2 linked regions of the Arabidopsis thaliana genome follow. The protein of the gene in region 1 binds, or shares a complex with, the protein of each later gene. Each region holds a gene or a part of one and is shown on either strand. Other genes may lie near its edges. A codon is read from its position in the direction of its gene.

Region 1 (14,413 bases):
GAAAATGATGGTCTGAGTCGGACCGCATTTATTTGTTTTCTAGCTTCACATATTCCACCACCTAGGAGACATCAGTTCCACATTTTTTGTCCTTAAACAGTTATGAGGTATATGTAGTGGTGACATGTAATTTAGTGAATATGAGGTATATGTACCGGTGACATGTAACTTAGTGAATCTATGATGTACACTTATGTAGAACAGTAGGTTAATCAAATCAGAAAACTCTAAATCATTTGGGAAACTTTAACAAAACCTGATAAAATCAATTTTGTAAGAATAAGATACCAACCTTCAATACTATACTATCTTTGATGTCGTGAGAAAAATATAGGGCCCAATTTTAGAATATATGGAGAATATCTGTACGTTGAGTCTCTCTAGATATAAGAAATATGCTCCTCCATCTTCATTATGTGTTTTTTCATTAACGCACATTAGGAGCAAAATTAACTTTTTTTGAAAATAACTTTTAAACTAGTAATATGTGTAACTGCACTGCTTATACGTCTAAAATCTAAATATGGGCAACCGTACCAACTATACGATTTTTTTTAACAAAATGGTTGTTGTATCCGTTGCAAAAAAAATGTATTATGTAAGATTATATTTGGAAATAAATAAGCTAATATTTTGATATAAAGTATATATATGTTTTTATCAGGAGGTTATAAGCCGAGTCCCATACATTTCTTTGATATTGGACCAGTTTTTAATAACGTTTTGTATCAGCTACCACTAAATCATGTGAGTTATTGGAAGTCTAGTAGAATATGTATTTTCACCAAAAAGACTTAAGCAGATGCCCTTTGCACAATACTATTGAAGTCTAAAGAATATATACTTATTTAGCTAGCACCTTCAGGAAAGTACGTGTATGTCGCACATCTAAGGTTATGCACAGTCTTTATTTGTTTTTATTTAACTTTAATTTTACCAACATGCATGCATGTCTACGCTATATGTACTAATACATGCTAGATTAAATTATCTAATTATCTACAGTTCAAAAAGAGTAACAACGATGGCTAACTTAAATTAGTATATGTGGAAGCATATGCCGTCAAGGCAGCGATGTATTAATGAAGTCTCCCTTTCCCTGTGTCTGGATTCGGATTCTTACAAGCCAACCAATGTGTTAAGAATCGATTATCTTCGAATCGTTGAGAAGAGAATATATATCACGATCCTCAGAGAAAAAGGTTGCTTTGGAGGTATTTTGCGATTGTGATGTATTTCTACTTGAATAATTCCATGTGTTTGGACATTGTTAAAGACACTATTCATTATGTATATTGCGTGTGTTGTATATAAAGTCTTCATATGTTTTACCTGCCAATTTTATAATACATATTTTAGTGTTTGATTTTTTTTGAATATGTAGTTATTAATAGACATAATTATGGTTGAATAGTAAACCTTTAATTTCTTGCAATGTTAAATAATATAAAATGAAATGAGAAGCTGCATGTAATCTTACCTAGAGAAAATTGTTTGTCAGTTTACTATTGCATGAAAGTTGTGAATCAATAACTTTAAGAGAGTTTGATATTATTCTCCTGATGATCCCTCCTAATTTACTATTCTCAGAGGTTTTAGTACTAAGAATTTTAAATTGATCCGGGGTTCGATTGTATAATATTTTAATGTGGAATCTTAATTAGTTTCAAAATAATCAGAAAAGAGGTATATCCATATGAAATATTTCACTTAGCCTTTTGACAAAGCAACACTTGGCTCAATTAAAATTGATCTACAGAATCTCTATGGTACTTTTATATATTTTCCAAATCTTATTCAAGAGAAATTCTACATCACATAGAATTAAATTATTCAAAATAGAATAATTATAATGACTTCAAATTTGATATAGAATAGATTATTAAAAAAAATAGTACCCCAGTAAAAACATATTTGCTATACTTTAAATAAATGTAATCGTATTATTCATTTTGGACACAGGAAAAAATCGTATTATTCATTTTGGACAGCAGGAAAAAATCGTATTATTCATTAACTATTTTTACTTTCTTCCTAAATTAAAATATGTTTATTAGTGTATCACCTAGTTAAAAAAATAATAATTCTATGAAACAAATCTGCTTTGTCAATTTAGGAAGAAAGAAAAAATGGATCATATGTCTTTCTCCGAATGTTATTGAATTCAAAGACATATTGATCTAAATTGCCACAGGACAAAAAGAATCAGTTAATATGTTTTTAAAATTTCTTCATATAACAAACGTATCGGGAATCTGAATATATACTTTTTTCATCTTATCTTGTATAATTTATTAGGTTTAGAATACTATATGAAGATTATGCCTTATCTTCTTAGTATAATGCCGAGGATAATTCGTTGTAAACATTTCTGCACATCTAATTTCATTAAAATATGTAAAATTATACTATCCACACATACATTTTTCTCCAATTCCATACATCATACATGGTGGAAAATCCGGTTACTACTATTATGTTGCAAACCAAATAGTTAAGATATCGTCGTAAATCAAGTTTTCTATGTTGCATAACGTTTGTCGTTGCTTTAGTTCCATCGGAAAATGAAAATGCAATGGATTTGTGATAATACCTTAAGACATCTAGCGACTGTTTTAATTTACTATTATCGTAGATGAGTTGCTATTAACGTCATCAACAGAGTAATCGACCTTCTCAAATTTATCCGTTTAGTTCAGTTTTTTGAGTTAGATTGAGTAATGTTTCTTTTTATTGATTTCACGTAATTTTGAATTTGTCGTACATATAGTTTAACTCGTAGTACTAAAAATAGACCGGTGTTGTTTTATTTCTAAACTCTACTCTTTCGGGTTGCTTCAAAAAGGAAGTTTCAAAGGCATAAACGATGGACTGGCTTGCTTCTTCTTTTTTTCTAACGATGGACTAGCTAACTTACAATATTGGGTTCTCTATTTTCAACTGAAGTTTTCTACACATGAGGCATCTTTTTTAAGATTACTATTTTACTTTAAGAGAAAGATGATGTGAAATCAATAAGTTATAAAAAAAGGTCATATAAAGTCTCTGTCAGGTAAATTTTAGATTTATATATGACAACATAAAAAAAAACTATAATTTTTTTTTTTATAAAGTAATTATAGTTTCATATTTTTTAAAGAACATGTAGTTTCTTCTATATTGAATTTGATATACAAATCACATTTTATCAATCGCGGAATCAATTTGTCGAAAAGCGGTAGGGATTGTGGTTGTACGACAACCAAAAACCACAATTTGACTCAAAAAGATAAAAAGGCAAAGTGAATTCAATCATTTCAGGCAACATCATCTTCACAATATGTGATTGTGTATGTTTATTTATAGGACCCAAGAATGCATGTTTATCTCACTATTATGACATCATTCCATGGTTTATTGCCAATGATCTCACCCAACAATGTTGTTCAATGATTCAGCCGATTGTGGATGGTAAAATGGATGTCGGAGCTACCACCCACCTAACCTCGTAGCTATATACATGACCTAGGAACTATGATTATTTTGCCATTAAAAGACGATGTACTATTGGACATCAGTAAATTAGATTGTTTCATTCTTAACATGAAGATATATCTTGGATCTGCCTGTTGTAGGTATTAACAATTTTGCAGTTTGATTTATTACATAAGGTCTTTGATATGGTTATTTTTGACAGTTGACTAATAAACGTCTTTAGGAAACTTGTATGAGAAAATAAACTTTTGTAAAATCATAAGATGCACAACACTTAACAAACAAACAAAAAACGATGTACCCCACGATCAAATAATATTCTTAAGGAATATGCTTTGGGTCATGAAAACTTTTAAATTCAGACATGTAAAAGGCTACCATATAGTATTTTTAGAAAGCAAATAGTAAAAAGCAATTGAAACTAGAAATAATAGAAGACTAAAAGTTACTTTAAACACAAATTTTGATCCATTAACCTTGGACCACAAGTTGGTGTTTTAAACATGAAAAGGTACCTTATGTTTATGGTTACAGGATGTGATTTAGATATCTATATTATAAAAATATGTGGATGTATGGAAATTGCAAAAAAAAATTCCTTTGGTTGTAATTTACCCATTATTTAATAATTGGAGCCTAAAAAAATCATTTGTGCCAAAAGATAGACAAATATTCTTACTTTTGACTTGGCCAAGTGAGAAGTTATAAACTATTTGCCGTTCTCATTTGTAAGAACGCCGTGTTGTTCAACAAGTGCAAGCTCAAACAGCAACACAATGTCAGATTAGAGGTCCAGTACTAGTACTAAAGAATGACATCAATACTTGTCCAACAAGAAAACAGCAAAAGTAATAGTATCTTTTAAATCACGTAAGCAAGTGTTGTGGTAGTGTATTAACCGGTATTTCTCATTCCTGCAGCAATACCATTGATTGTGATAAGCAAAGCATCTCTTAGCTTATTGTTATCTTCATCACGTCTTAGCCTCTTAAGAATTTCAACTTGTAACATGTTCATTGCGTTGAGATACGGAAGTCTACTATCAATGAGTTTCTTCAAGCTCTTATTGTCCTGCAAGAGTTTCTCGTGACCACTTATCACAAGAACGTACTTCTCAGTAGTCATTAGTTCTTTTCTTAGCTCAGTGCCAAGTCCTCTTCTTTTCTCAGACACAAGTTGTTCGTCGTAGTGTTTGGTCATTGGAATGTCTGCTTTAGCTAACACCATCTCTATAAGTTCAAGGGTGGACTGAAAAAATGGCCATTCTTTGTACATCTCTTTAAGATCATCCGCATGACCCTTCTCAGAAACTCCCTTTAAACCAGCCCCTACACCAAGCCAAGCTGGAAGAACAAACCTTGTTTGAGTCCAAGCAAAGACCCAAGGGATAGCTCGGAGATGTCCTATTCCACTAGAGCTCTTTCTTCGTGTTGGTCGGCTTCCTATATTGAGGAAACCAAGTTCTGCTTGCGGTGTTGCCTCATGAAAATAAGATAGAAACTCTGGGTTTTCATACACTGTGCTTCTATAGTGTTGGCAACTGATTCCAGAGATTTCTTCCATTAGGTTTCGCCATTTTTCCTCTCGAGGTGGCTGAGGAGGCTTTAAGGTAGCGAGTAGAACCGCGGTTGTGTATACCTCTAGTTGCCTAACAGCCGTTTGTGGTATCCCAAACTTAGCTTGAACCATCTCACCTTGCTCAGTTGAACGCAAAGAGCCCTGGTCAAACCAGTTCAATCATTTTAGCGTAATAGCTCATTGGTCTAGTGCCATGGCACCAAAAATGTATATATATATATATATATATATATATATATATATATATATATTTTTAACCCCGTATTGACATTAGTAACAAAACAAATAATACAATCATTAAATATGTTTTTAAATGATCAATAAATAATAGTTTGGAAACTGACCATTACAGAGCCTGGTGGTTGGGACTGAATAGCGAGATAGGTTGGACCACCACCACGACCAATGCTTCCTCCTCGTCCATGAAATAATGTTATTTTGATTCCAAATTCATTACAAGCAGCAACAACATTTTCTTGAGCTTTGTAGAGTTCCCATGCTGCAGTAAAACGTCCAGCATCTTTTCCAGAATCAGAGTATCCAACCATCACCTACAAGTAACATTGTTACAAGTTCTTAGAACCTCCCTTCAAAATTAACATGTTTAAATTCACGTGTAACGTACCTCTTGGTGACCGTTGTGGTTCTTTTGGATGTGTTCCCTATACCAATCGATTGAGAGCAATTTCCTTATCGAAGGACCAGCGGCTCTTAAATCATTCACCGTTTCAAAAAGAGGTACCACTCGTAGCCTATTCAAATAAATAGATAGTAGTAAGAGATCTTAAGACTACTAAAAATGTTACTCATGTATGTACTTATAAAGTGATTGCTATAAACAATGTAATATCTTGGTGGAGATTTGAACTCACGTTCCACCAGGACATGGTTTTCCATGTTCGCTAGTTAAAGCAAGTCGAGCATCTTTTTGAAGAAGTTCCACAGCGAGGACATCACTTGCCTGCAAGTAACAAACAAATCTATGTCATTGTTTTGTTTTAATGAAAATGTTTAAAGTCGTCATGCATAAGAAAATTATACATTTGAAGCCATAGAAATAACGTAAGCGCCAAGTGATTCACTTCCAAGTTCAGCAGCGACTCGGAATGTGTCCAATACTTCTTTGACGTCAGGACCAACCTACATAAATAAAATACAGATAAATAAATAAAATTTAACAACTTTCATAACATAACATTGCTCTTTCTTGTAGTTTACGCAATAGATATTTCATTATGACCTTAATACATTGAGGAACAAGAGGTCGTTTCCCTTTTAGTTCTCTTGTCAAAAATTCTAATTTCTTCTCTTCATCCCATTCACTATAAGTACCCATATCCAAGTATGTTGTAATTGCATCCAAAGCTTCAGAATGTCTTGCAGCTTCCTAGTAATTGAATCACACATATTATTGAATTAGAGGACCAAAGCATGAAGATTTAAGAAAACAAACTAAAATCACCTGGCGTAAGTCGAGTTTCACCAAAACCATTCCAAAGGTAGAAACTCTACGAATCAGATCAGCAAGTCGTCCATCAGCTAGTACCCTAGCACCCGATGATTGCTGCAAAAACGAATGATGTTAAATTTTATGATTATGGATTATTGTGGTAACACAAGTTTCACATGGAATCAAGATTGCTAACCAGAGATTCGTAACAGAGGAGCAATGGTTCAAGAAGCTGATCTGATGTTTCATAGGAGTTTTTAGGGTCATACTCACAAGGAAGACCCTCAATAAGAAGTTCAAGAAGTCTTCTTGTCTTCACAAGCTATGATCATAAATCATTAAATTTGAAAATCTGTTGGTTTTGACATGCTAAATCTGAATCTTTATATTATCTTTGATTGAAAAGCTTATGATCTTTACCTTTTCTTTTACTTCTCCAAGAACAATACGATAAGGAGCACTTCCAGCTCGTTTAAGTGGAGGTGGTTCTAGTAGCTTTTGGAAACTAGTCTTCCCAACCTGAGATTCCTCAAATAGTTTTCTCTGGAGAAGAAGTTGAGAAGTAGATGAGAAAGAACCTCGAGAAGTAAGACCGGACCGCGAACCATTGTCAATTTTCTCCCAGTCGCTTTCCGAAAAGTCTTGTTCATTCTGCTTCTATATAAACAAAGATTAAAAGAAAAATTAATCAAAAGAGGATGGAGAAATTTCTGTAAAATATGTTTCATCTATATGTCAGCACATTTAAAGGCTTTGTGTTACCTGGAGATTGGGTGGCATATAATCTGTCGTCGCAATTTCAAATTTGGTATGTCGTGATTCACCAAAGTCTGCAATGGGATGTGATATAAAACATGCATGGTTTTGAGATATTTACCAAATGCAAGAGATTAAGAAATCTTTTTACCAATGCAAGCAGGAAGGTGAGCTCTAGCTGGAAGTTGTGTTGGCAAGCATGATGAACTTTGTTGCTTTTGGAAATTTGATTTTCCTCTATCATAATCTTTTTCAGAATTTTAAGGGGAAAAAACATCAACTTTATTCAGAACAAAAAATTTTTATGTAAATGAACAAGTAAAGATTTAATAGAAATTGAAGCATATATTTACCCTTTTCAAGAATTTTATCAGCTAATCTTGAAAACCTATCACTGCATCGATCCGTAGATAATTCAAATCTTAAGCTATCAACCTCTCTTATGTACAAATCAATAGCCATCCATCTAGACAAGAGAGATACTTCTTTCGTGACCTGGACAAATGATATCACAACATTCAAGTGTGTGTTATATATCAAGAGAATATGTGACAATCAAATTTTCTGATTGCAGTTTTAAAAGATCTTCTTCATCAAAAAGTAAATGTTAAGAATCTCATATTACAAGTGAGATGTGACCTAGAGTAATATAATAACGACCATGGACTAATTTTCATTACCGGTTGGTTTTGAGTTCAAATCGTAAAATATCAAAAGACTAACCTTTGCCGTGACATTTGGATTTCCATCTCTATCACCTCCCATCCAAGAACCAAATTTCATAGGAGTGCATGTTAGTGGAAGTGGCTTCCCTGTAAACTAACCAAGAAAATACAAAATATCAATATTATCTTAAGATAAAGTATAACGATTATTCATATATTCTAGATACCTAAAGGTAAAATAATACCTTCTTCAAGGAATTGCTGACACGACGCAGGTATTGTGGTACTGCTTTCCAAAGGGATTGCTCCACTATGTTTAGACCTAAATGAATGAAAAAGAAAGAGAAATAGTTTTTTAGAGTGAAACTTTTCTGTACTTTACAATTATATTTAAAATACCAGCTCTAGCTTCATCAACTGGAGTAGGTTTCTGACGTCTAAGCTCATCAGTTTGCCACAGTGAAGTAATCTCTCTAACCTTTAAGTATAAGTAACTCTTAGTTTATAAGTTACTCTGCTGATAAAATTTATATGGAAGATATTGAGATGGAGTGTACCAAATCTTCAATGAGCGTTTCGCGATCTTCAACGCTTAGATCTGATCTAGTGTTATATTCTAGAAGATGCTGCAAGAACCATATACTTTTAACTCTCTCAAGTAAAATTAAGAGATATAATCCATATATGTTAACATCATTAGAACTAACTTACAGCAATTCTAATATGCTTGTACTGCAAGGTTCTTCGATTTATTTGGGTAGGATGAGCAGTAAGAACAATTTCGACCTCCTAAAGCGCGATAAACAAACAAATATCAAATAGAGAAAACAACACTCAGATACGACCTTTGTGTTAGATAAAACGAATTGAAATGTTTCTAAAATGATACAATATGAAGTAGCTAGACCTGTTTGCAAACAGTTTTATAAAGTTCGTCTGGAGAGATTCCACTTTGCAATAGCTGGCTGAATATATCATCACAAGATCTTGCAAGTTGTGTAACGTTATGGACTTTGTGCATTCTGGAATAAAAATGTTTATTATTAGAATCCACAATGTTTAAGTTTAGAATTATCTATTCATGTTTATTACTTGTAATATTTTTGTTGTAATGTGATTACAAAAATCATGACCTGTGATGAGTGTCTGCAATGCCCATTAAGTTAAGAGAATGAGTGAATGTACGAGCCAACGTTAAGGCTTCTTCTAGTGGCATTTTGGATATTTCACTAGTCAATTGCTTCTCCAAAAGGTTTGCGGTATCCTCAATACCAGCCATACGCAAATTTAACGCACTCTGAAACATTTAAAAACCACACAAAAATAAGTCGTATCATTCATATTTGTTTCGATAAGTTGATTGATCTATATGACTATATCTCTTATTACTACGATGTGAGATTCTTATCAAATGATCTAAGCATATGGAAGCGAATAGACAGAAGATGAAACCTGAGCAAGAATCCGAATGCGTTCGACTTTTTCCATGAATGGGTTGCCAACTTCCCTTTGTAACACATCATGGAAGAGACTACCGAGCAATTTGCAGTCATCTTCGAAGCTTTGGAATGAGATTTCCTCTGCGATATCGTCTGTTGTGTCCGTCATTGTATCAATGAACAAGGTGAAGGAATGAATAATTGCAGTGATCAAAGTTAAATATTTTGAAGAGTGATTATATATGGTTTGTTAGCTATGGTGCTTAATTACTAATTATGGTGGTCAACGCAGTAAATTATGGCGTAGTTAAATTTGTGGTGCTAGTCATCTTTCCCCAAAAAAATATATTCTTATTTCTTAAGCTAATTTTCTTCCTTTCCAAACTAAACAACAAAACAAACAGTTGATATATTATAATTAAGAAGAAAAGAGAAGGAAATTCTACGATTTTTTTTTTTCTTTTTTTGGGTAAAAATTCTACGAAAGGAGTAACTGGTTTTAACTAACTCTGTTTTATCTTTGGACCTACAATTTATTTTGTGCCTCTTTGGTGATTGTTATTTTAACATACATTCTTATGATCGGAAAAAAAAACTAAAGTACAGTAAATGACATATAATTTGGCTAAGTCTTACTATCTAACAAATGACTACTCCTTCTATTTTTTAAGAAAACATAATAAATGTTGATTATAAATACATTATTTTTTATGTTTTACAGTTTTCTATAACTCAAAAAACAATGATAATTAATTTTTTTTTTTTAATTACAATTCATCAATACTAACCAATAAATATTGCATAAAAAACTTAAAAAAATCAATATTTTAGAAATAAATTTTTTCTAAAAAAATAATCATTTATAAACAGAAAAGTATATGTATATGTTATTTTTTACATAATCGTTCTCGTTATGGCAACATCATAAAGAACATATATTATATAATATCATCTAAATTTTTTAATAAATAAAATGAAAACAAGTGCAATGGAAAAAGAAACAGCGATAATTGTGTACAGCCAATCACACCGACACGGCGACACATTTGCCAACACGTATATAAACGCATAACCGATACGACATCGTTTTAAACTCAAATTAAGTCAACAAAACTAAAACACGACAAGAAAGGGTTTCACTGTGTTCGATAATAATGTCGACAGGAGAAGCGATACCAAGAGTCGCCGTCGTCGTTTTCATTCTCAACGGAAACTCAATCTTATTAGGTCGCCGCCGTTCCTCAATCGGCAACTCCACTTTCGCTCTTCCCGGTGGCCACCTCGAATTCGGTCTCTCTCCTCTCTCTCTTCTCTCTTTATATCACCCAAATCTTGATTTGATCTAATCTTTGTTCTTTGATCAGGAGAGAGCTTTGAAGAATGTGCAGCGAGAGAAGTAATGGAGGAAACAGGTCTAAAGATTGAAAAGATGAAGCTTTTGACTGTTACAAACAATGTCTTCAAAGAAGCACCAACGCCATCACACTACGTCTCTGTTTCGATACGTGCGGTGTTGGTGGATCCAAGTCAAGAACCGAAGAATATGGAACCAGAGAAGTGTGAAGGATGGGATTGGTATGATTGGGAGAATCTACCAAAGCCTTTGTTTTGGCCACTTGAGAAATTGTTTGGAAGTGGTTTCAATCCTTTCACTCATGGTGGTGGAGACTAATAGATGTAAGAGTTAATGATTGATTTGGGATTGAATGTTGCAAATTGGGCATTTGGTCTAGTGGTATGATTCTCGCTTAGGGTGCGAGAGGTCCCGAGTTCAATTCTCGGAATGCCCCTCTCTTTTACTCTTTTTTATTGTATTTTTGGTTTCTGTTTTCCTAATTAGTAATAAACTTATCATGTGTCCTATCGATTTTATTTCTCTATGTTTGATTATTACGTTCTTAAGTCTTAACTCAAACATTGACCTATTTGAGAAAGACGAATGATATAACTTACAAGTTGCATAAAAACATATGTTTGATTAGCGTATGATGAGTGAGGTCTATGGAATATTCTTTAGTAGAAGGCTAACAAAGCTTAATCGATTTCTTGATCTTTATATGGCCGTAATGACCTTAAACATATATTAAGTCTATAAACATAAAAAGGAACAAATTCAAAAGTAAATATAAATCGTATGCATATACAAAGAGTATAATACCCTATGTTGATCTAATCTACAAAACCAAACCTAAAAGAATACAATGAATAAAATAAAATGAAATCAATGAGGAAGAGAGTTAACAAAAGAGTTGTGTCTCTTAGAAGGAGCAGAAGGAGGAATGGGAACGCCTTTAGGTAAGTAACCAAAAATATGGCTGTTTTTAAACGTTAATCTCTTTATATTCTTCTTCATCTCCATGGTGGCTCCAATTCTTGCAGCCGCTACACAAGAACTACTCGCCGCGAGAAACAGAACAAAACAGAGCAGAACCATCATCGTACGACACGGAGCCATTTGGTAGTCAATGTTTTTTTTCTTCTCTTTTTCTAATTTTTTCACTTCCACTTCTTTGAGTAAATGAATGAAGGGTCTTATGAATGAAATGAATAATGTGTATGTATGTGACTATGTGTTATATTTATAACATGTGTGTGTGTGGATTTGATTGGAAATAAGTGTGGCGGAAATGAGGGGGAAGTCGGGGAATGGTAAGAGTGGAGTGAATCCCACGCTATTGAGACTTTGAATTTTCCTTATTATTTTATAAGAATTCTAAAGTTTTCAAAGGTTTGAGTTTTTCTCGTTGTTTTAGTCACCGCCTTCGACTTTTATTTTCCTTTGTATTTTTCTATAGAAGTCCATTTTATGCTAGGAAATGGGAATCTGGTTTGATGGGATGGTCGTTTTTTTCAAGATTTCATCATATATGTACAAGTACGTTGACGGGAAGAAGAATAATTAATGGTTTTATAGGCATCGTCACCATGAGCTATCTTTTGTTTTCTTTTGCATTATTCAACTTTCAACAGTAACTATATCACAAGATGTATGAATAGTAAAGCAAGATTAGTTTTCGAAATTCGAACTCAAATATCAGACATGACTCATGAGCTTTCTTTAAGCACACAATATATCATATATGTCGTGCAGAAAGAAAATTAGATATCATCCTTGGACGAATGACGAAAGTGGTAGACAATACACGTATGTATAGTAAAAGGATTAGACTAAATGATAACATGTCGTAGGTTAATCATGATACGGAATAAATAATAATTTAGTTAAACGAATATACACATAAAATATACTGAAAAATGCATGCATAAAACACGTAAAAACAATGTATACCAACTCTATCTTTTGCGTGAGAAGGTATTTTAAGAAATTAAAGAGAGAACAAAAAGTAGCTTGGAGGGTTGACTCAGTTATACACAATTTTACAACTTGACAAGTGGCTTTCCATGATTCACATTTTTCTTTAAATTATGCCAAATTTGATTTGGATATCCACCTGATTTCTGCATCTATATCGGACTTAGTCACGGATTATTATTTTTACCTAAATAGAATTTTTTATATTTCCTTTATGAAATGCCAAAATAAAATAAAGTTCCAACATACCTCCTACGATTAGACATGTCGCATAAAATCATACAATTCTTCTAATTTGATGGAAACAGGTAGATCTTTACATATACTAAAAAAAAACAAATTTTAACTAGGTAAGAACCGACCGTATCATACATTGAATCATTGATACACAGTAAATTTAAACTAGGTAAGTCTGTTATTTAATTTTATGATTGTATGATCTAAAAAAAAAATACTTGGAAGTTTTTCTAATGAACTTCGAGATATCAAAACTATATTTTGTAAATACGCTAAATAATTTAAAACAAAATAATGCTATAGAAATAAGATGCAATAACAAAATTGAAAAGACCACAGCTTTGTATCATTCCAAGTTTTTGTTATCACAAACCCTTTGATTCAGAACGAGGGTTCTAATATTTATCTGCCTTAATTCTCTTACATTGGTTCACTCCGAAAGGAACATGATCGCTAAGGTTCTTGGTCTCATCTCCGTTGTAACACAGATTAGGGTTCCCCCAAACACCAAGTCTCCTTCCCATTCTCTCATAAAAGTACCTAGAGAATTCCAACTCTCCGCTGATGTTATTTCCATTCACGTAAAGCGCGCTGAGACTAGGCATTTCGGTTTCCATTTGTGGAATGAGTTTGCCTCCGAGATTGTTGTTGCTCAAACCCAAAAACCTCAGTTTCTTGAGCTCCAAGATTGAACCAGGAATCTCCCCTTTTAAGCCTGTGTTGGAGAGATCAAGAACCACTAAATTCTTCAGATTTCTCCACTTTATTCCTGTCAAGTCCCCGGCTAGGCGATTATTGGACAGAACCAGTTCTACCAAAGAAGTCATCTCTTGGATCTCTTTACTCAACCCACCTGATAATCTGTTGTTTCTCAAGTCCAATAGAGTGAGATTCTTCAAGGACTCTAGCTCTCTAGGTAACTTTCCTTCCAAGTAATTGTTACTAAGATCAAGTTTCAGCAGAGAATACAATCCTCCAACGCTTAAAGGCAACGCCCCAGATAAGAAATTCCTGCTCACATCCAATATCAACAATCCGGTTAACCCGTAGACCTCAGGTATTCTCCCTGTGAACCGGTTTCCAGACAGTACTAAACGTCTCAATCTGGTTAACTTGGCCAAATTCACTGGCAATGGACCTGTTAACTTGTTTTCTAGCACCACCAGAGATTGAAGGTTGGTGAGGTTAGTGATGACAGAAGGGAGTTCACCTATCAGTCCCGGGTTTGATCTGATCTCAAGTCTCTCCAAGCTTTTAGAGAGATCCAACCACTTTTCATCGGAGATTGAAGCTAGATATCGGTTAGGCGTTGTGAAGCAGTTGAAAAGAGAGAGAGACTTGAGGTGCTTGAGCTCAAAGAGTTGTGGTCTGATCACTGGACTTTCAGAACAAGCAAGAGAGTTGTCTTTCATAGTCCCAAAGCTTAGAGCAGTTACATACCAAAGCTCATCATAGATATCACAAGTCACACCCTGCAGAGTTAAACAACAGAGAATTACAT
Region 2 (17,445 bases), about 16 Mb from region 1:
TCCTATTTTATCCATTTTTAATTTCATTATTACTTGAAATATTTGTTACAATAATTGAAAGACGAGCTATTACAGTATTGTTTTGACATATTTTATCTAGAAGAATAGAAATATAAACAAATATCAGTCATGTCTCGAGGTTAAAGTTACGCCCCCAATTTAATAATAAAAAAGGTTAAAACCTAAAATCTCCCAAAAGCTTTGAGGTAGATTACTATGATAGTTACCCAACACCTACACACAAAGAATATGTGCTCTCTCATTCTTTTCCTCATCTTTACTCCAACAAAGCACCTCCATTTATATATATTATATATGTTATGTTCTATTGATTCTTCATGAAGCTTTCTTTACCCTTACTTGCATCACAAGTAAAACTAAGAAACGAACATGACCCATCGCCTTCACGAACTACCAACTCTCGAATCACCTGCGTCGTCTCTTCACTTTTACCACCATGCTCATACCCGAAACCGGCCTGAATATTTTCATAACTAAACCGGTTTAGGTTTACGAGATTTTTCGGTTTAGGTTCCATCGAACCGCATTGCCTAGGCTGTGTTTGGTAGAAGACTTTAGAGAGGACTGGTTCACCGTCTTTTTCGTCCTCGCTGCTACCTAAATGATACTGATGCATCACCCAATTCGTCTTCTCAGGCTTCTTCTGGCGACCATAGTTGGTGTAGAGCACTAGGATCTTCTTGAAACCGGTTTCTCCTGATTGAGACAAAACAGGTCGAGTCTTGCCTGTTTTGTGCCACCTTGTTTCATGGCCTTCCTCATCTGTGCTCACTTTTCTTCGTTTTCGTGTTCCGGTCGTATAAGCCTTTGATGGCCGGTGGAAGAAGTGCCGTACTTGCCCGTCCTTGCTTACTCCTACTTGGGACAAGATGTACTTAAGTTAAGCATATGTTGATCTGATCATCAATCACATCGGATTTGATGATTTCACTTTTATAATCTTACACCAAATTGTAGAGACAATTTTATTTCACAAAACTTTACTATATGCATGTGAATATGTGATCATTTGTTTTTGGGATAAAACCAACCATTACACTTCTGAACAAATCTTCTGAACACATATTATATATCAAATCTAGCAAGATTTTTTATTTTATAACTAACCAAAATATCTATGCCTCTACAAAAAAAAATTTAAACCGAAAACTCTAATATAAAATGGTAAAGCCAAGAGTGTTTGTGTAGACTCCGTATGCAAAAACATGCGTTACTTACTTTTGACCCCAAGAAAAGAAGAAGATGTAAATTTTAAATGAAATGAAATCGCGATAACCAAAATAGTCATTTTTGGATAATTCTCCTTGTTTTCATGGTGCTAATTGAGAAAGAAATATCGTCAATAGTATTCATTTATTTTTCTGTAATTTATACTTAGCTCTGTATTGATAATACAAAAAAAAAAAAAAAAAAAGAGAGGGTTACATACCAGGAAGTTTCTCAGGATGCGTATAACAAATTCCATTCTCTCCTTCAAGCGTAGGTATAAATTCATCAATCAACGGATGAAGTTTTCGCTTATCGGATGATACCTTCGCCTCCAAATGCATAAGGATCTCTTTATCCGACGGATCGAATTTGACTCCTGCCGGTAAGCTTGGTAAATCTTTGATGCTACCAACCTTATCAGATCTCATTTTATGTCAAAATCTAAAGTAATCATATTGATAACTAAAGAACATTTAGGTGAATTAATGGTTAACATATGTAACCTGGTCGTCTTGGTGATGATGGAGCTTGTGTCCGCAAGAAGGACAAGTCGTGATGGGAGTTTCAGCGCTAATCTTGGAATCTGGACGGCTCGTTACACATGATTGAGATTGGTCTTTGAGTTGAACCGATGGATGATCAGTGTTCGATACTCTTTCAAGATTAAGATCGTAGTTATCATCTGAACCATCACACCAACTCATCCTTCTTATTTTACTGATCTCTCTATACAAGTGACCTACCAAAATCTAATTACAATCAGAACTATCAAAAGATAAAACGAGAGAGAGGGAGCTAAAGATGAGGAGGTGATATAGAAAGAGGGGCAAGTGAATGTTAAGTTTTGGAACTAAAATTTAATTATAGTATATTAAATTAAAATGGTGTAATAAAATAATATTTTTGGGAGGTTGCGTGGACGTCAAGTTTATGAATGGTGTATGTACATACGTTTGCAACAAATAACTTTTAAATGCATTTTTCAACATTTTGATTATGACTATTTTAATTTGAACCATTTTAACCTTTTTCTAGTATTCACAGTTGAAATATTGAATGTGTTATAGCTAGAGTTGTGTGAAAATGTTTAACTAATGGTATCCAACCACACTTAGGAAAACCCCTTCAAGAGATCATTAAACTAAATCAGGATATGGAGTTTATAAAAGAAAAAACGAAAAAAAATAGAGAAAACTAATCTCTTCAAAATCAAGAAAGGTGACGAGAGATGGAGTGTCGTTATTCAAACTCATTTTCTTTTCCAAACTATTTAAAGTTTTGCCAGTTTTATTTATTTTCTATTCAATATATCATATGCCATAACATGATCTTGATTGATCCTTTAACAGATTATATTTTATATATATAAAAAAAATCCAAGAAAAAGATCGTGTGATGAATTATGCAATGGAAAACGTTAAGTTATGCCCGACTATCAATATTTCATGTATGTATAGTAGGATTCATTTACGAAATATACAATAGATAAAGAGATCTCATAGATAAATGTTAGATCATATATATATGTTGGACCAACTTGGTGAAGCAATAAGACCATATCTTCACGCACAGAACAAACTCTCGTGTTAAGCAAGTAACCTATACCCAAAAATTCTCATATTTTGGCTCGTTGACAACAGATTCTTCACCAAAAGTTATTAACTTATATATATTTTTTCTCAATCTGTGTCTTAAAGTAGACCTAATATTGAATTTTCTTAGCTAACCACAATATTAAAAGACGAACTATATATAATTAGAATGGTACAACCAACTCTCCAAATGTTTTTTTTGTAAATGCTATGGTAATTCGGTTTATTTGGGTAAGCACTCGGGTCCGTACACATGATCCTCGATGGAGATGCGAAGCTTCATGAACAAGAAACTAATAATCTCAACCCAAAAAGTAAATGAAAAAGACAGATGTAAAGGAACGAAACAGCTTACTTAGAAAGCTTTTTAGAAATGATTAATTTCATATATTTCATCTGTTTTAATTTTCAAAGAAATATGTTTTTTTATCTAGTATATAACTATATTTCTGTTAAATTATATTTTAATTATAAATATGTCATTAAAATTTTATATCAAATAATTATTTGACTTTCTTGTTTTAAATGTTTTTTTTTTCTTTTTAGTCGAACACCATTTTACTAAGTTATCGGACGGAATTTTTCTTCTAAAGAAAGACAATCCTAAGCAGATGTGTTTACATGGGAGAAAAGAGACCCTCATGCTCTTACCTTTTTAGCTAGACAATCAGCACAAATATTGTTACAAGAGGGAAGAAACCTAATGTAAAATAAATAAATAAAAAATGAAAAAAAATTCAAAATTTCAAAATCCAATAATATTATAAATTAATAATCATAGATCTTAAGTATATATTTTAAGACTAATTTTTATATGAAATTTTTATTCAAGCTACAATTACAACTCTTTTTAAAATACAACTGGTATGATCTTTGTTATACTCATATAATTAACTATTTGCGTATTTGATCCGTCATAGTTGATTTTGTAAAATCTTTTTGAGAAAGCATTGCTAAGATTTGAGTAAAGAGAAATTGGATTAAGCTTCATGTTTACGTTTACATTGACGTTAATGGCGTAGATATATAGACACAATATCTTGCTGAAAAATAAATTAAAGAAGTAAAAAAAAAACTAAAACTAACATAATTATATATGCAAACAACAAAACATATAAAAACTTAAATTAAGAAACATTTTAAAAAGAATATAATATTGTATTTTATGTAAATATTTCTATAAATTAATATTTATTAACTTATCGTATAAGTTAATAAATATTAATTTATAGGATAAATTAATATCATTATAAATTAATAAAATTTCATGATCCCAACATTACTAATTTATAGAGTTTCTACTGTATAAAGCTATTTTGAGCCTTCTATACATACCATAGTATCCATGGGAAAAGGTGTCCAATTTCTTTACCATTCATCATTCCTTTCACTTTCGAGAAAGAAAATCCAAATTGGAGAATAAGGACTAATCAGAAAAGGAGGAAGGCAGTGATGGAATTGGTGAAAGAGCCCAAGTTTGAAGCACTGGTGGGCATTCAAAAAAGAGGTGATTAACTGTCTCCTCCTGAGCACCACATCTAGGACAATGCTTTTCCTTACCGATGTGTCGGTAGAATAGTGTATGGTTTGTTGCCAAGTACCCTGATAAACATTACCACAAAATGCTTAAGCTTTCTTGTGGTTTTTAACTTCCATACTTGTGCCAAAAAGGGAGTGATTCCTGGTCCCTGAAAAGGGTAGTCACAAGTAGGGCGAGAAAGTTCTTGCGCAACCCAATACCCTGACTTAACAAAATAGTTACTAGATTTTATTCTAATCAAACTATATCCATCACTCAAATAAGTGCGACCTGGTCGGACACCTAAAATCAAAGGTATGTCCGTTTTATTAGTTGGCACGAATTCAAATTTTCTTGACTTTTTTTTGAGACCTTGAAGGTTTCCTTGTCTGCATTGGTCCTCTGTTTAAAATATGTTGGAGATTGTAGATGTTTTCTTAATCCATGAATATAGTACGATTAGAGCGTAAACTAATATCCTCTTAAAAGAATGTAATTCGAATCTCCCATGAAGTGAATGAACAACGTGAAGATGGGAAAGATAAGCTTTCAAGACTAGAGCTTTGGTTTAGACGACTACTATGAGACTACTATCTCCACAAGACCAAACCAAGACATACCAATCTAATCGGCTAAAGTTGATGAACAATCTTTGGAGGACTTTATTCCTTTCCTAAACAAAATCTGAAAATCAGAAGACATGCTAAAAATTTACAAAACAACTAAACCTATATGGGCCAAAAGCATATGTGCTTATTTAATAACAAAGTCTCCTTGTTATGTTACAAAATCTTTCATAACTTCTCTTTGATAAAATAAAATAACATTGAAGAGTATTATACTACTACACAATACTTTTTTCTTTCTGTTTTGATAAGATTTCGTTAACCTCAAAGGTGATATTTATTAAAACAAAATATTTCGGTTTCTTTAACCCATTACTGGATGTTGTAGAAAACAATAACAATTCATAATGTATAAAAACAACAGAAGAAAAAAAACATAATTCTTAACACTCATAATTAACTAGTGATGATCACAAATGATCTACTAATTAAAATCTTGATTATGAATCATTTGTTATTATTCTCATCATGTCCTCTCTTGATCCTTGAAGCAGCTTGCTCACACAGTTTATCATAGAGCTCTTGATACTTCTCCATCATCTTCTTCGCCTTTTCGTGATCCTTCACGTCATTTGGATCCACTTTCCACCACACATCCTTATTCACGACCCTCGTCTCCGCCAATGCAGCTGCCTTCTTGACTTTGACTTCGTCCACCTTTAACTCCTCCACCAATCTATTGTATTTTTTGCAAAGCTCTTGAATCTTCGCTTGCTTGTGAGCATTCATGACCAATGATGATGAAGAAGACGACGAGGCATCGCCGTTGAGAAACCGCTCCGCCACGGCTTGGAAGGATGGACTGCCAAAAGTGTATGGTTTTCCAGAGCAAGAATACCCGATAAACGCAACTTCAACACCACAGAGAATAGAAAGCTCACTGATTTTAGTGTAGATACCATTTAGACGCTTAGAGAATGTGACCGATCTGCCTTCATCTTTTTCAATTTTCTTGATGTTAATCTTTTGTTTTCCTTTGGTTTTCTTGGGATTCATTTTGGAGAAAAAAACAATTATGAGTTTATTGGTTATAAAAAAAAAAAGAGAAATTTAAACTAAGTATGTGATTGTTGTTTTTGGCTTTAGCCAAGGAATATGTTTTTTTTGTTGGGTGCAAGATAAGGTTTATATAGATGGAAAAATGGTAGTAATTTAAATTTCATTAAAAAAGTCAATTCTTAAATTAATGTTTGGAAGGTTGGTAATATTTGTAATCCGCATAGTTATGGTCGATTAATAAAAACTCTTAATTCCGGATGTAGAGACTTTGACTAGAAGAGATTTTATGGTAATAATGAATGTATGATATTAGATTAATGTTTGGAAGGTTGTTAATATTTGTTATCCGCATAGTTATGGTCGATTGATAATAACTCTTAATTCCGGATGTAGAGACTTTGACTAGAAGAGATTTTATGTTAATAATGAATGTATGATATTCTGAACTTATATTTTTTTTTTTTGCGTAAAAGGTTTATTTATACCAATTTTCTGTTTTTTTCTGTAGAGAAGCGAAACGTATTAAAAATAAAGCTACTACAAAGGAAAACTAATACATCCAAAATAAGTAAGAAGAAGAGAAGGAGAGGTAGAAGAAGAGGCATGGAAGGAGAGAAGTCGATCCCTTAAAGAGCGGTCCAGGGAAGCTTGAGTAACAGACGGTGGTGAGTTGATGTTGTTGAAGATCCGGGCATTACGCTCTCGCTAGATGAGATAGCAGGCCGCTTGCAAGATGAGCTTGACAATAGTCGTGATCTTGGGGTTAGAAGAAGTCCTTGCCTGCAAAATCCAAGAAGAAATCGAGAGAAGACCAGATGGAGGAGAAGGCCAAATCCTTGAAGCAAACCCTTCCCAAAGAGTGGCAGAATAAGCACAGTCAAAGAATAAGTGAGCATGAGTCTCTAGGCCAGAAGAACAGAGCACCCACTCAACAGGGACATTAACTCCCCAGCTTCTTAACTTGTACCTTTTGTATAAGAAGCATCTTCAACTCCCACTTCTCAAAACATTTCTAAATTAGATCCTAGTACATATATACAAAAAAGATTCATTCTACTTTCTTAATTAGAGATGATACAAGGAACATATATGAAATAATTACACATCGATATTCAGTAAAAACTATGGCAAAATTAAAGGAGACTATATATTTACACGTTTGTGTATGTAATTAATTGACAAAGAAGTTGTCCAATCTAAATTGGTAGTGAGTGTGCAAAATATGCATAAAGGTCATATGCTCAGTTCTTTCTAAATAAGATTTTATCCATAATTTTTGTTTTAGAATTTAAATGAAGTGGCATCTTAAATTGTAAACGCTGCATCCTAGTAAGCATATGTTAACGGAAATGTAACACTCTTTGCCAATTTAACAAAGTCTCCTTGTAGCAGCATTTTTCACAGTTTAATATGTTACAAAATCTTTCATGACTTCTCTTTGGTAAAATAAAATAAAAATTAAAGAGCATCATACTACTACACAATACTTTTTTTCTTTCTGTTTTAATAAGATTTTGTTAAACTCAAAGGTGATATCTATTAAAACAAAATATTTCAGTTTTTTTAACCCATTACTGGATGTTGTAGAAAACAATAACAATTCATAATGTATAAAAAAGACAAATAAAAAACATAATTCTTAACACTCATAATTAACTAGTGATGATCACAAGTGATCTACTAATTAAAATCTTGATTACAGATCATTTGTTATTATTCTCATCATGTCCTCTCTTGATCCTTAAAGCAACTTCCTCACGCAGTTTCTCTTTGAGCTCTTGATACTTCTCCATCATCTTCTTCGCCTTTTCGTGATCCTTCACGTCATTTGGATCTGCTTTCCACCACGCATCCTTATTCACGGCCCTCGTCTCCGCCAATGCAGCTGCCTTCTTGACTTTGACTTCGTCCACCTTTAACTCCTCCACCAATCTATTGTATCTTTTGCAAAGCTCTTGAATCTTCGCTTGCTTGTGAGCATTCTTGACCGATCGTTGCAACGATGATGAAGAAGACGACGAGGCCTCGCCGTTGAGAAACCGCTCCACCACGGCTTGGAAGGACGGACTGCCGAATGTGTATGGTTTTCCAGAGCAAGAATACCCGATAAACGCAACTTCAACACCACAGAGAATGGAAAGCTCAATGATCATAGTGTAGATAGCATTTAGACGCTTAGACAATGTGACCGATCTGTCTTCGTCTTTTTCAATTTTCTTGATGTTAATCTTTTGTTTTCCTTTGGTTTTCTTGGGATTCATTTTGGAGAAAAACAAAATTATGAGTTTATTGGTTATAAAAAAAAAAGAGAGAAATTTAAGCTAAGTATGTGATTGATGTATTTGGCTTTAGCCAAGGAATATTTTTTTTTTGGTTGGGTGCAAGATAGGGTTTATATAGATGGAAAAATGGTGGTAAATTAAATTGCATAAAAATTAGTCAATTCTTAGATTAATGTTTGGAAGGTTGTTAATATTTGTTATCCGCATAGTTATGGTCGATTAATAACAACTCTTAATTCCGGATGTAGAGACTTTGACTAGAAGAGATTTTATGGTAATAATGAATGTATGATATTCTGAACTTGTACCTTTTTTTTTTTGGTAGAAGGTTAACTTTATACCAATTTTCTGTTTTTTTTTACGAAAGCGAAACTTACTAGAAAAAAAAATTGCTAGAAAGAAAAACTAATACAACCAAAATAAGTAAGAAGAAGAGAAGGAGAGGTAGAAGAAGAGGGAGAGAAACCGATCCCTTAAAGAGCGGTCCAGGGAAGCTTGAGTAACAGATGTCGGTGAGGTTATGTTGTTGAAGATCCGGACATTACGCTCCCGCTAGATGAGATAGCAGGCCGCTTGCAAGATGAGCTTGGCAATAGTCATGATCTTGGGGTTAGAAGAAGTCCTTACCTGCAAAATCCAAGAAGAAATCGAGAGAAGACCAGATGGAGGAGAAGGCCAAATCCTTGAAGCAAACCCTTCCCAAAGAGTGGCAGAATAAGCACAGTCAAAGAATAAGTGAGCATGAGTCTCTAGGCCAGAAGAACATAGCACCCACTCAGCAGGGACAATAAATCCCTAGCTTCTTAACTTGTACCTTTTGTATAAGAAGCATCTTCAACTCCCACTTCTCAAAACATTTCTAAATTAGATCCTAGTACATATATACAAAAAAGATTCATTCTACTTTCTTAATTAGAGATGATACAAGGAACATATATGAAATAATTACACATCGATATTCAGTAAAAACTATGGCAAAATTAAAGGAGACTATATATTTACACGTTTGTGTATGTAATTAATTGACAAAGAAGTTGTCCAATCTAAATTGGTAGTGAGTGTGCAAAATATCCATAAAGGTCATATGCTCAGTTCTTTCTAAATAAGATTTTATCCATAATTTTTGTTTTAGAATTTAAATGAAGTGGCATCTTAAATTGTAAACGCTGCATCCTAGTAAGCATATGTTAACGGAAATGTAACACTCTTTGCCAATTTAATTGTTTTGTCATATTTGAATTGTTCGTGTATGAAATGTAATTTTTATTTAAGTTAGTGTACTTTTAAGCACACTTCATAGGAGAACTGGCTGTTTTCCCGTAGATATAATTAACAAGGATCCTATTATCAAAATTTACATAATAGAGTATATGTATTATGCTATTACTGTAACTCCTAGAAAAGTCAAAATGGTTTCACCAAAGTTATGCCCTAGCATGTTAAATTGCATATATATATTTATAGTTCTGATAGTTTTTCAATAACTAAATGGTAGTAGTCTAGTAGTTTTCACTTACATAGGAGTTGTTATGCAGGTTTAGGACAGAAATCAATTTTCTTCAAATGCAAAATGCACTAAATTACTCTATTCTAGTCAAAATGATGCCACATTTTAGGTTTATTAAATAATTTTGGCATTCTAATGTCATTTTTTTTTTTTTGGCTTTAGTCACGAAGGAATTAGTTTTATGGTAAAAACTTGGAGCACTTCTTGATTACAAAAGAAGTATATCTAATTTTCTTTTTTTCCTAGTTTTTTAGAAGAAAATAAAATGAAAGCAGTTTGGTTTAAGTAAGTAGTAAGTTTTTATTGTTATTTGGGGGCTTTAAAGAAACTTAAGAAAACAGCGAGCAATATTCAGAATTTACCAAACATATATTAGATGTAACAATAGTCTGCTCCCACAGGCCCACTCTTAAGTCCAAACTTTTGTTCCTACTTCCTTATCAAATGTGTCATATTCGTTACAAAGGTTTTTCAGAAAGGTTTTTAGTAAGTTTTCAAACATTTTACAAGTTCTTTAGAAGCTTGGCAAGTTATTTGTTTACAACATATATTATCTTTACAAAAAAATATAAAAAAACATATACCAAAATCGTCTTTTGTCTTTCCTAGTTTTTTTAATGGGCCTTTGACAAATTTGAGAATAGAGAGAGTAGAGTCGATATGTAAGACTTATTCAAAAATGTGGAAAACAATGTGGGTCCGATAGGCCCATTTAAAAGCCATATGACCCCTAAGGTGTGAGTGTGTACCGTGTGGTGTGGGTCACAATAACACTCAATTACTCTCATATGTATTAATGATGTACATGATCATTTCGCAATCCTGACCTTATCTATTGAACTTTGGTCCCTTAGTCCCTACTATGCTTTCCATTATAATTCTTTGTTTCTTATAAATAATTATGCTACCCACGAACTATCTTACTCATATCATACCAACCACTAGCAAGACTACTATACCAAAATTACTAGAACAAAGTTGCATCACATATAAAAGAAACTTCACACAACTATCAAAATAGAATAAAAAAAGAGTGTACTTGTTCTAGCAAATACAAACATGTTATGTGGAATCTCTATGAAACCTCATCATGCAACAAGTTGAAAAAAATAAACAAAAAGGAAATGCAAAAACAAAGAAAACAAAATTGAGAAATGATTTAGAGAGTGAAAGAGACAGAGAGACAAGGCAAAAGATGAAGGTGAGGTGTCTATGTCCCTTGAATTGAATGATAACAATGTGGGCTGGCTTCAATGCTTATTGGACCCACTTTTAATTTCCTCACCCAACAGCTCATATTTAGATTCTCACCCTATTTATGTAACCTTAATGTAAAATTCTCTAGTTAGATGATAAAGCTTAGCTAATGTTGAGATGTCAATGTTTTTGTTTTGGATTTGTTTTATACTCAACAATAATAGAAGTTATCTCTTTAGTTTTTAATGTCGTTACTTAATTGCAATTAGGAAGTTAAACGTTTACCTAATCACTACCGGTCGATTTACATGACTTAACTAATTCTTTTTCTCTTTTTGGAATTATATCTTTCTTACAAATAGTTCTCGAACTCCAAGAATATCATGTTTTAAAGAATGACTGTCAAAAAAACATACGTTGTTTATTATAGATACTAGACTTCACACAAGTAACTAAAAGTTAGAGATCTTTTCGCAGGAAGGTTGATATTAGTCATTTCATGTGCCAAGTCTGATGTTCATGCTCGTGTACGGAGAGAGTAAGTAAAGGAAATAACACAACCTGAAATTATAAATAATAATAGAAAAGTTGGTTTGAAAAAGTTGAGAATTTAAGAGACATGTGAATCTACAGTGACATCAAACTGTACACGAGCCTCCAAGAGTTCACTAAAAACGAGAGAGAGAGAGAGAGCCTAATGCTTTAAAAGATTCAGATAGACATGTTCCTACACGAACCTTGAATCTGTTTACCCAAATATGGAAACTATTTAAATGCATGTTAACGCCAGAAAGATCGCAACTTTTTCATTTGCATTTACCAAAGATAAAAACTCTTACAAAACCAGAGTTTACTAATAGCTTTATACAGTGGAGAAACTGAAACGCTGAATTAGAAACTTCTTTATATATATTATAAAAATTTCGACAATCTCTGATTCTCACTTTTAGATCAAAACCCTAAAAAGGGGTGAGAGAATCTTGATTCAATGCCCTAAATTGACAGCTTCAAGCACCAAAAATTGAGAGAGCTTTTTTGGGCAAAACACTTTTCTTTCTCCATTTGTGTCTCAAGCTATACTTCCTTGGTCTGAGGTGTCTTCGTTGTAATAAGGTGTTAACTTGCCATCCTTGTCATCTCTTATCTTGTGTAGGCTATCTTCGTCTCCACCACCAATTTCTTGCAACATCTTAACCACACGCCTCATGGAAGGTCGGTTAATGGGCAACGGACTCGTGCAGAGGAGTCCAACGTTGAGGATTTTGCTTATCTCTTCTTTGAAACAAGAGTCGAGTTTCGGGTCTATCACATGCTCTATGCCTTTTTGGTCCAATGTAGAGCAAACCCACTTCACCAAATCCTTCTCCCCAAGTTCTGGATCAACCGGGCGTTTCCTAGTTACTATCTCAAGGATCACTACCCCGAAACTGTAGATGTCGCTTTTCTCGTTCACACGAAGCGTATATGCGTATTCTGCAAGAAGTTTGAAATGAAAGTTATGGAGGGAAACAGACAAACAAACAAAAAGTTTCAAATTCCATTAATGGACAAGTGAGAAGTTGTGGAGCCATGGTTTCAGACATGTCTCAATAGATAGTGAATGCTCATTTAAGTCTCAACTAATAAAACTTAAATGTGGTTCATCTGAATCTCCGTGCAACATGTACCAAATGAGCATTATTACCTTAAGCAAAACTGTTGATTAAACAAAGCACATTTAACTTGAATCATAAGACTAACCTGGTGCGATATAACCGCATGAACCAGCGATCACTGACATCGATTTAGGAGCTTTTCCGGTCAAGTCGACAGCTTTAGCCACACCAAAATCAGCAACTCTTGCACCATAATCTCCATCGATCAAAATATTGTTTGACTTAATATCTCTATGCACAATCGGAGGAACAGAATCATGGTGAAGATACGAAAGCCCCTCAGCCGCATCTAAGATAATCTTAAACCTCGTTTGCCATCCCAACATTCCTCCTTTACTGCTATGAAGCAAATCTCCCAAACTACCATTAGGCATGTACTCATAAACCAAGAGCTTGCAGTCTCTTGTAGAACAGCAACACCATAGCTTCACAATGTTCTTATGCCTAATCTTACCCAATGTCTCAACTTCAGCTTCAAAAGCCTCATCTTGAACTCCAGGTTTGTAACCTTTCTCTGGATCACAATCTCCAGTTTCCTTAACAGAACCTGTCCATAAACGCTTAACCGCAACAGTTTCCCCATTGGTGAGTACAACCTTGTAAACTTTACCTGAAGCTCCAGCTCCAATCACATTATCTTCATCCAAGCTTTCAAGAATCTCATGCTCACTGAACCCGAGTTTGTGGAACGACATTAGAGTCCACTTAGATCTCTCCATGGCTCTTGCTTTCTTGAAAGTCCTGTACTTGAAGTAGAACCAAGCAACACCCGCAAGAAGCACCATCGCAGCAAGTACGAAAATCGATCTAAGAAGCCATACATAGCCTCTCTTCTTAGCTTCATTCTCAGAGCCACACAATCCCTTGATATCCCCACACAATCCCGGGTTCCCAATGAAGCTATTCTTATACATATCTTTCGCTAAAGAAGGCGGTAAGTCACCCGATAACCGGTTATAAGACAGATTCAGCTGGTTTAGCTTCAAACTCTGCAATGAAACCGGGATCTTGCCAGAGAACATGTTACCAGAAAGATCAAGATAGTTCAATACTGACAAACTCCCGATTTCATCTGGAATTTTACCGGTGAATTCGTTATCGGCTAAGTTTAACTCGTTGAGCTTCTTCCAAGATTTGATTCCAGAAGTTAACTCTCCTGAAAACTGATTACCATGAAGATCAAGAGTACCTAATTCTCCAAGACTCATCAAGCTATCAGGCAACGAGCCACTGAACTTGTTCCCACTTGCCGACAACTGATTAAGATTATCCAAAGAACCAATTTCCTCCGGCAAAGATCCGGTGAATTCATTGTTGGAGAGAATCAACAGCGAGAGATTTGAAGCACCTCCAATGGACTTCGAAATTTCACCGGAGAACGAGTTGTTGACGAGCTCAAGCAAGTTAACATGAGGCAATCCCCAGAAACCTGTAGGAACTGAACCGGAAAACCGGTTATAAGCTAACCGGATACGTGTCAAGCTCCTGCAATCGGCGAGACTCTCCGGTATAACGCCGGAGAAGGAATTGTGTATAATCAACAACTCCTCTAGCTCTCCTTTCGCACACAGATCCGCCGGTAAGTCGCCGGAAAATTCGTTTTCCGAAACATCCAACCATCTCAACGGCGAGTTTAGACCGAGGTCTTTTGGTAATCCACCGGTTAACCGGTTTCCGAATATTCTAATCTCGTACAAGTTCGGAGATAACGCTATACTCGCCGGAAGCTCACCTTCTAGATTGTTCTCGTAGAGATTCAAACTCTCCAACGGCACACGGCAAAGCTCGTCCGGTATTTTCCCGGTTAACTGATTCATCGACGCGTCGAGAAGTCTCAACGATTTCAAATTCCCGAGCTCCGGTGGAATCTCTCCGGTCAACGAGTTGTTGTACAGCTCAATCTGAACGACGTTAGTCAAACCACCGAGCGAAGGAGGAATATGACCTACAAGGTCGTTGAGCGCAAGGTCTAAATCAACGAGTTTACTGAGTTGACCCAGCGAGTCAGGGATCTGTCCGACTAAATGACACTCAGTGAGCCACATAACCTCGAGATTCGTCAAGTTCCCGAACTCCGGCGGGATCCGACTCGGACTAAAGGGGTTATACGAAAGATTCAGCATCTTCAACGTGCTGATGTTGCCGAGAAACGGAGGAATCGTACCGTCTAAGAGATTGTAAACAAGAGAAAGAACCTCTAGGTTTTCGAATTTGCCGAAACTCGCCGGAATGTCACCGGAAAAGTTGTTACCGGTCAAATCTAAGTGAACCAAAGTCGGAATATCGGCAAGAGTTTGTGGAAGCTCACCGGTGAGTAGATTCTGAGAGAGATCGAGAGTTTGAAGACTCTTACAAGCAGCGATGTTGAGAGGAAGAGTAGAGTTGATGGAGTTATTGTACAAAGAGAGATGAGCCAGATTAGAGAGACGACAAATGACTGAAGGAAAAGGTCCGGCGAGATTAGCGCTGGAGAGGTCTACGGAAGTGACGGAGGAGAAATCACCGGCGCAGGAAACGCCGGACCACCGACAAGGAGAAGCATCGTTGGAGTTCCAGGAAGAGAGATATGAGTCTGGGTCGTCTAACGAGAGCTTGACTTGTTGAAGAATGAAACCGTCTTGGTTAAGAGAGAAGACGGTGGGGAAAAGTAAGAAGAGAAAGAGAAGATACATGTTTCTTCGTCTTCCCCGGTATCTATGACGGTGGTTGAAGAAAGAGAGAGAGATAAGAGAGTATGAAGAAGAGAGTGTTTGTGAGAGAGTGCTTTGAAGGAAGAGAAGAAGAGAGTCTATAAAAAGCGTTGACCGGAGACAGGTGAATTATCGTGACTCTGACTGTGAATGCTATAAAAATCATTTGTTTTTCTACTATCATTTATTTTGTTTTTGTTTTCTATAACGATTCTCTCTAATTATTTGTTTGCAATTATTAGTATCTATGTCGAGTTTCCAACATTGTATAATTATCCTGTGTTTATCTGATTATAAAAGAGAATGTTACTAATAATGATGATCTAGCTAAATAGCCATATGGAAGGAAACATTCTTTTTTTGTACTTTGTTGTTTAAGAGAATGCAACTGTTTTTAAATTAGTTATGTAGGAGACGATAAGATTGTAAATTTTCAATTAAATAATTTTAGCTTTATAATATATATGGAATTTGCATACAAATTTGATTTCATTATATATGTTTTTAATGTAAATGAAAAGTTAGTTAGTAGAGTAAATGTGCATTTTAAAAAAATTGCAAGGTGAAAAGAAGGTACGGTAAACATTAATTTTGAAATGTAGATATCTGATTTTTTTTTTTTTTTTTTTTTGGAGATGGAATGAGATATATTCCGACAGTTTTATTTATTATCGGCGTTTGTAAAGTAGTAAAGTACAAATATTGTTAGAACATATCAAAAAAAAAAAAAACAGAATGTGTTGGAAGTTTACTTGGAACGTAGTCTAAAGTCGATGTGAATTAAATTAATTATCATTCAATTTTAAAAAGTTTATGCACGTCTTAAAGAGTATTAGGAATATTGTATCAACTATTAAGAGAATAAACTAGCATGCATGTAGAAACATGAAAATATTTTATTTTGTTGAAATGTGAAATTCATTTTTGAAGATAATAATATGTAGTTATTTACAAAAAATGCAAAGAAAATATGGAAGATAGGATAAGATATCAAAATATTGAGATATTTATGAAATTAAACATTCTCTAATGAAATTTGTTATACTAATTAGTATTGCAAAGGGAAAGAGGGGGACAAACTTGTATGGTTAAACGTTAGGAAACATATTGCCTAATGGTGTAGTCAATATGAGAATGCACTTCTCAAGCGAGAGTCATGAGTATTGCTTATCTTAGAGATGTCATAGTCTTAAAAAAGTATTCGAGTCGAATAAGAGTTCTTTATGGTTTTTAAATTTTAGGTTGATATGCAACAAAATTGGAAGACGTAAAATAATGTATTGTGAAAAACAAACTGTGTGTACACTTTGTTCTTATTCTCACAACTTGGTTTTCATAAGTTGTTACGGCTAAACGAAATCGTAAATTATTTTGTAGGATGTGAAAAAGAGTTGCACTAACTGTACTTGTGTTCAAGAATTTTGTTTTTGAGGACGTGAATACATTGTTGAATCCAGTTAAAAAAAATTGTTATCTATTTTTGTTTTTATTTTCTTACGATTTGGATTTCATGCCCGTTACATTATGAGAATTGTTACGTTTACTATCATAATCTCAATCTTAGTTTATCAGTTGGAATTTGATTTTATTTTAGTTAATCTTAATTTAACAAAATAATAAACTCATAAAAGAACAACACAAATTTTGCCTACATATATGTTAGTTAGAAAACGTATGTTCTAACATATGTATCGGTTGAGAAAAGCATCACTTTAATCAACATACCATTTGAATGATATTTAAAGAGATAGATGAGTGAAATTTTGGAGATAGATTGATTCCAAGCAGTCTTCTCTTCTTCGTGTTTCTAATAGTTTCTGTGAAACACACAATACAAGTTGTCAAAAAAAAATTAGGGTACACTAAACGGAGTTCGACACTTGTATCCTATAAGATAGACATTTAAGAAATTACGTACACTACAATAGCTACAAATCTCTGTCTTATGAGATTGTTATAAGCAAAGTCTCTTTCATCCTACAAATTGTTGCTAGCTAGTTGATTGAAAGAAACCGTCAAATTAGTTTTGTTTATATTTTTAATTTCATTACTTAGTTAATCAAGTTTCCATTACGTGTGATTGATGTCCTCTTATAGTTTCATAACATTGTCACTTTGGAATTATTTAATAGAACTATTAATTTGTTA

Evidence for each region.
Region 2: the proteins of IDA (region 1) and HSL1 are in contact, whole or in part, in a crystal structure (PDB 7ODV), measured with the Arabidopsis thaliana proteins. Residues at the interface, in NP_564941.1 of Arabidopsis thaliana: Val57 (codon at 11,649), Pro58 (codon at 11,646), Ile59 (codon at 11,643), Pro60 (codon at 11,640), Pro61 (codon at 11,637), Ser62 (codon at 11,634), Ala63 (codon at 11,631), Pro64 (codon at 11,628), Ser65 (codon at 11,625), Lys66 (codon at 11,622), Arg67 (codon at 11,619), His68 (codon at 11,616), Asn69 (codon at 11,613); in NP_174166.1 of Arabidopsis thaliana: Tyr92 (codon at 15,006), Asn93 (codon at 15,003), Gln117 (codon at 14,931), Thr140 (codon at 14,862), Gly141 (codon at 14,859), Val164 (codon at 14,790), Tyr165 (codon at 14,787), Tyr189 (codon at 14,715), Trp211 (codon at 14,649), Asp233 (codon at 14,583), Asp235 (codon at 14,577), Gln257 (codon at 14,511), Glu259 (codon at 14,505), Tyr261 (codon at 14,499), Leu281 (codon at 14,439), Asp283 (codon at 14,433), Ser285 (codon at 14,427), Met286 (codon at 14,424), Ser304 (codon at 14,370), Asn306 (codon at 14,364), Tyr308 (codon at 14,358), Glu309 (codon at 14,355), Glu328 (codon at 14,298), Arg330 (codon at 14,292), Phe332 (codon at 14,286), Asp354 (codon at 14,220), Ser356 (codon at 14,214), Glu357 (codon at 14,211), Glu376 (codon at 14,154), Leu378 (codon at 14,148).

Annotation. Positions count from the first base shown.
Region 1 is NC_003070.9:25,818,574-25,832,986, forward strand, and holds IDA (Putative membrane lipoprotein), read right to left. Parts: upstream 12,209-14,413; 5' UTR 11,818-12,208; coding exon 11,584-11,817; 3' UTR 11,344-11,583; downstream 1-11,343. Other genes in the region: PPC4 (phosphoenolpyruvate carboxylase 4), read right to left, coding at 4,369-5,193, 5,397-5,603, 5,678-5,804, 5,925-6,013, 6,094-6,192, 6,293-6,439, 6,515-6,616, 6,699-6,824 and 12 more; NUDX1 (nudix hydrolase 1), read left to right, coding at 10,517-10,652, 10,727-11,034; AT1G68780 (RNI-like superfamily protein), read right to left, coding at 13,308-14,384. UniProt on the Arabidopsis thaliana protein: Involved in an ethylene-independent separation step of floral abscission. Promotes abscission zone (AZ) cells rounding. May act with RLK5 and HSL2 as ligand-receptor pairs.
Region 2 is NC_003070.9:9,994,748-10,012,192, reverse strand, and holds HSL1 (HAESA-like 1), read right to left. Parts: upstream 15,481-17,445; 5' UTR 15,280-15,480; coding exon 12,693-15,279; intron 12,426-12,692; coding exon 12,022-12,425; 3' UTR 11,738-12,021; downstream 1-11,737. Other genes in the region: NAC010 (NAC domain containing protein 10), read right to left, coding at 326-876, 1,451-1,643, 1,734-1,934; AGL59 (AGAMOUS-like 59), read right to left, coding at 5,415-5,963; AGL58 (AGAMOUS-like 58), read right to left, coding at 7,670-8,227.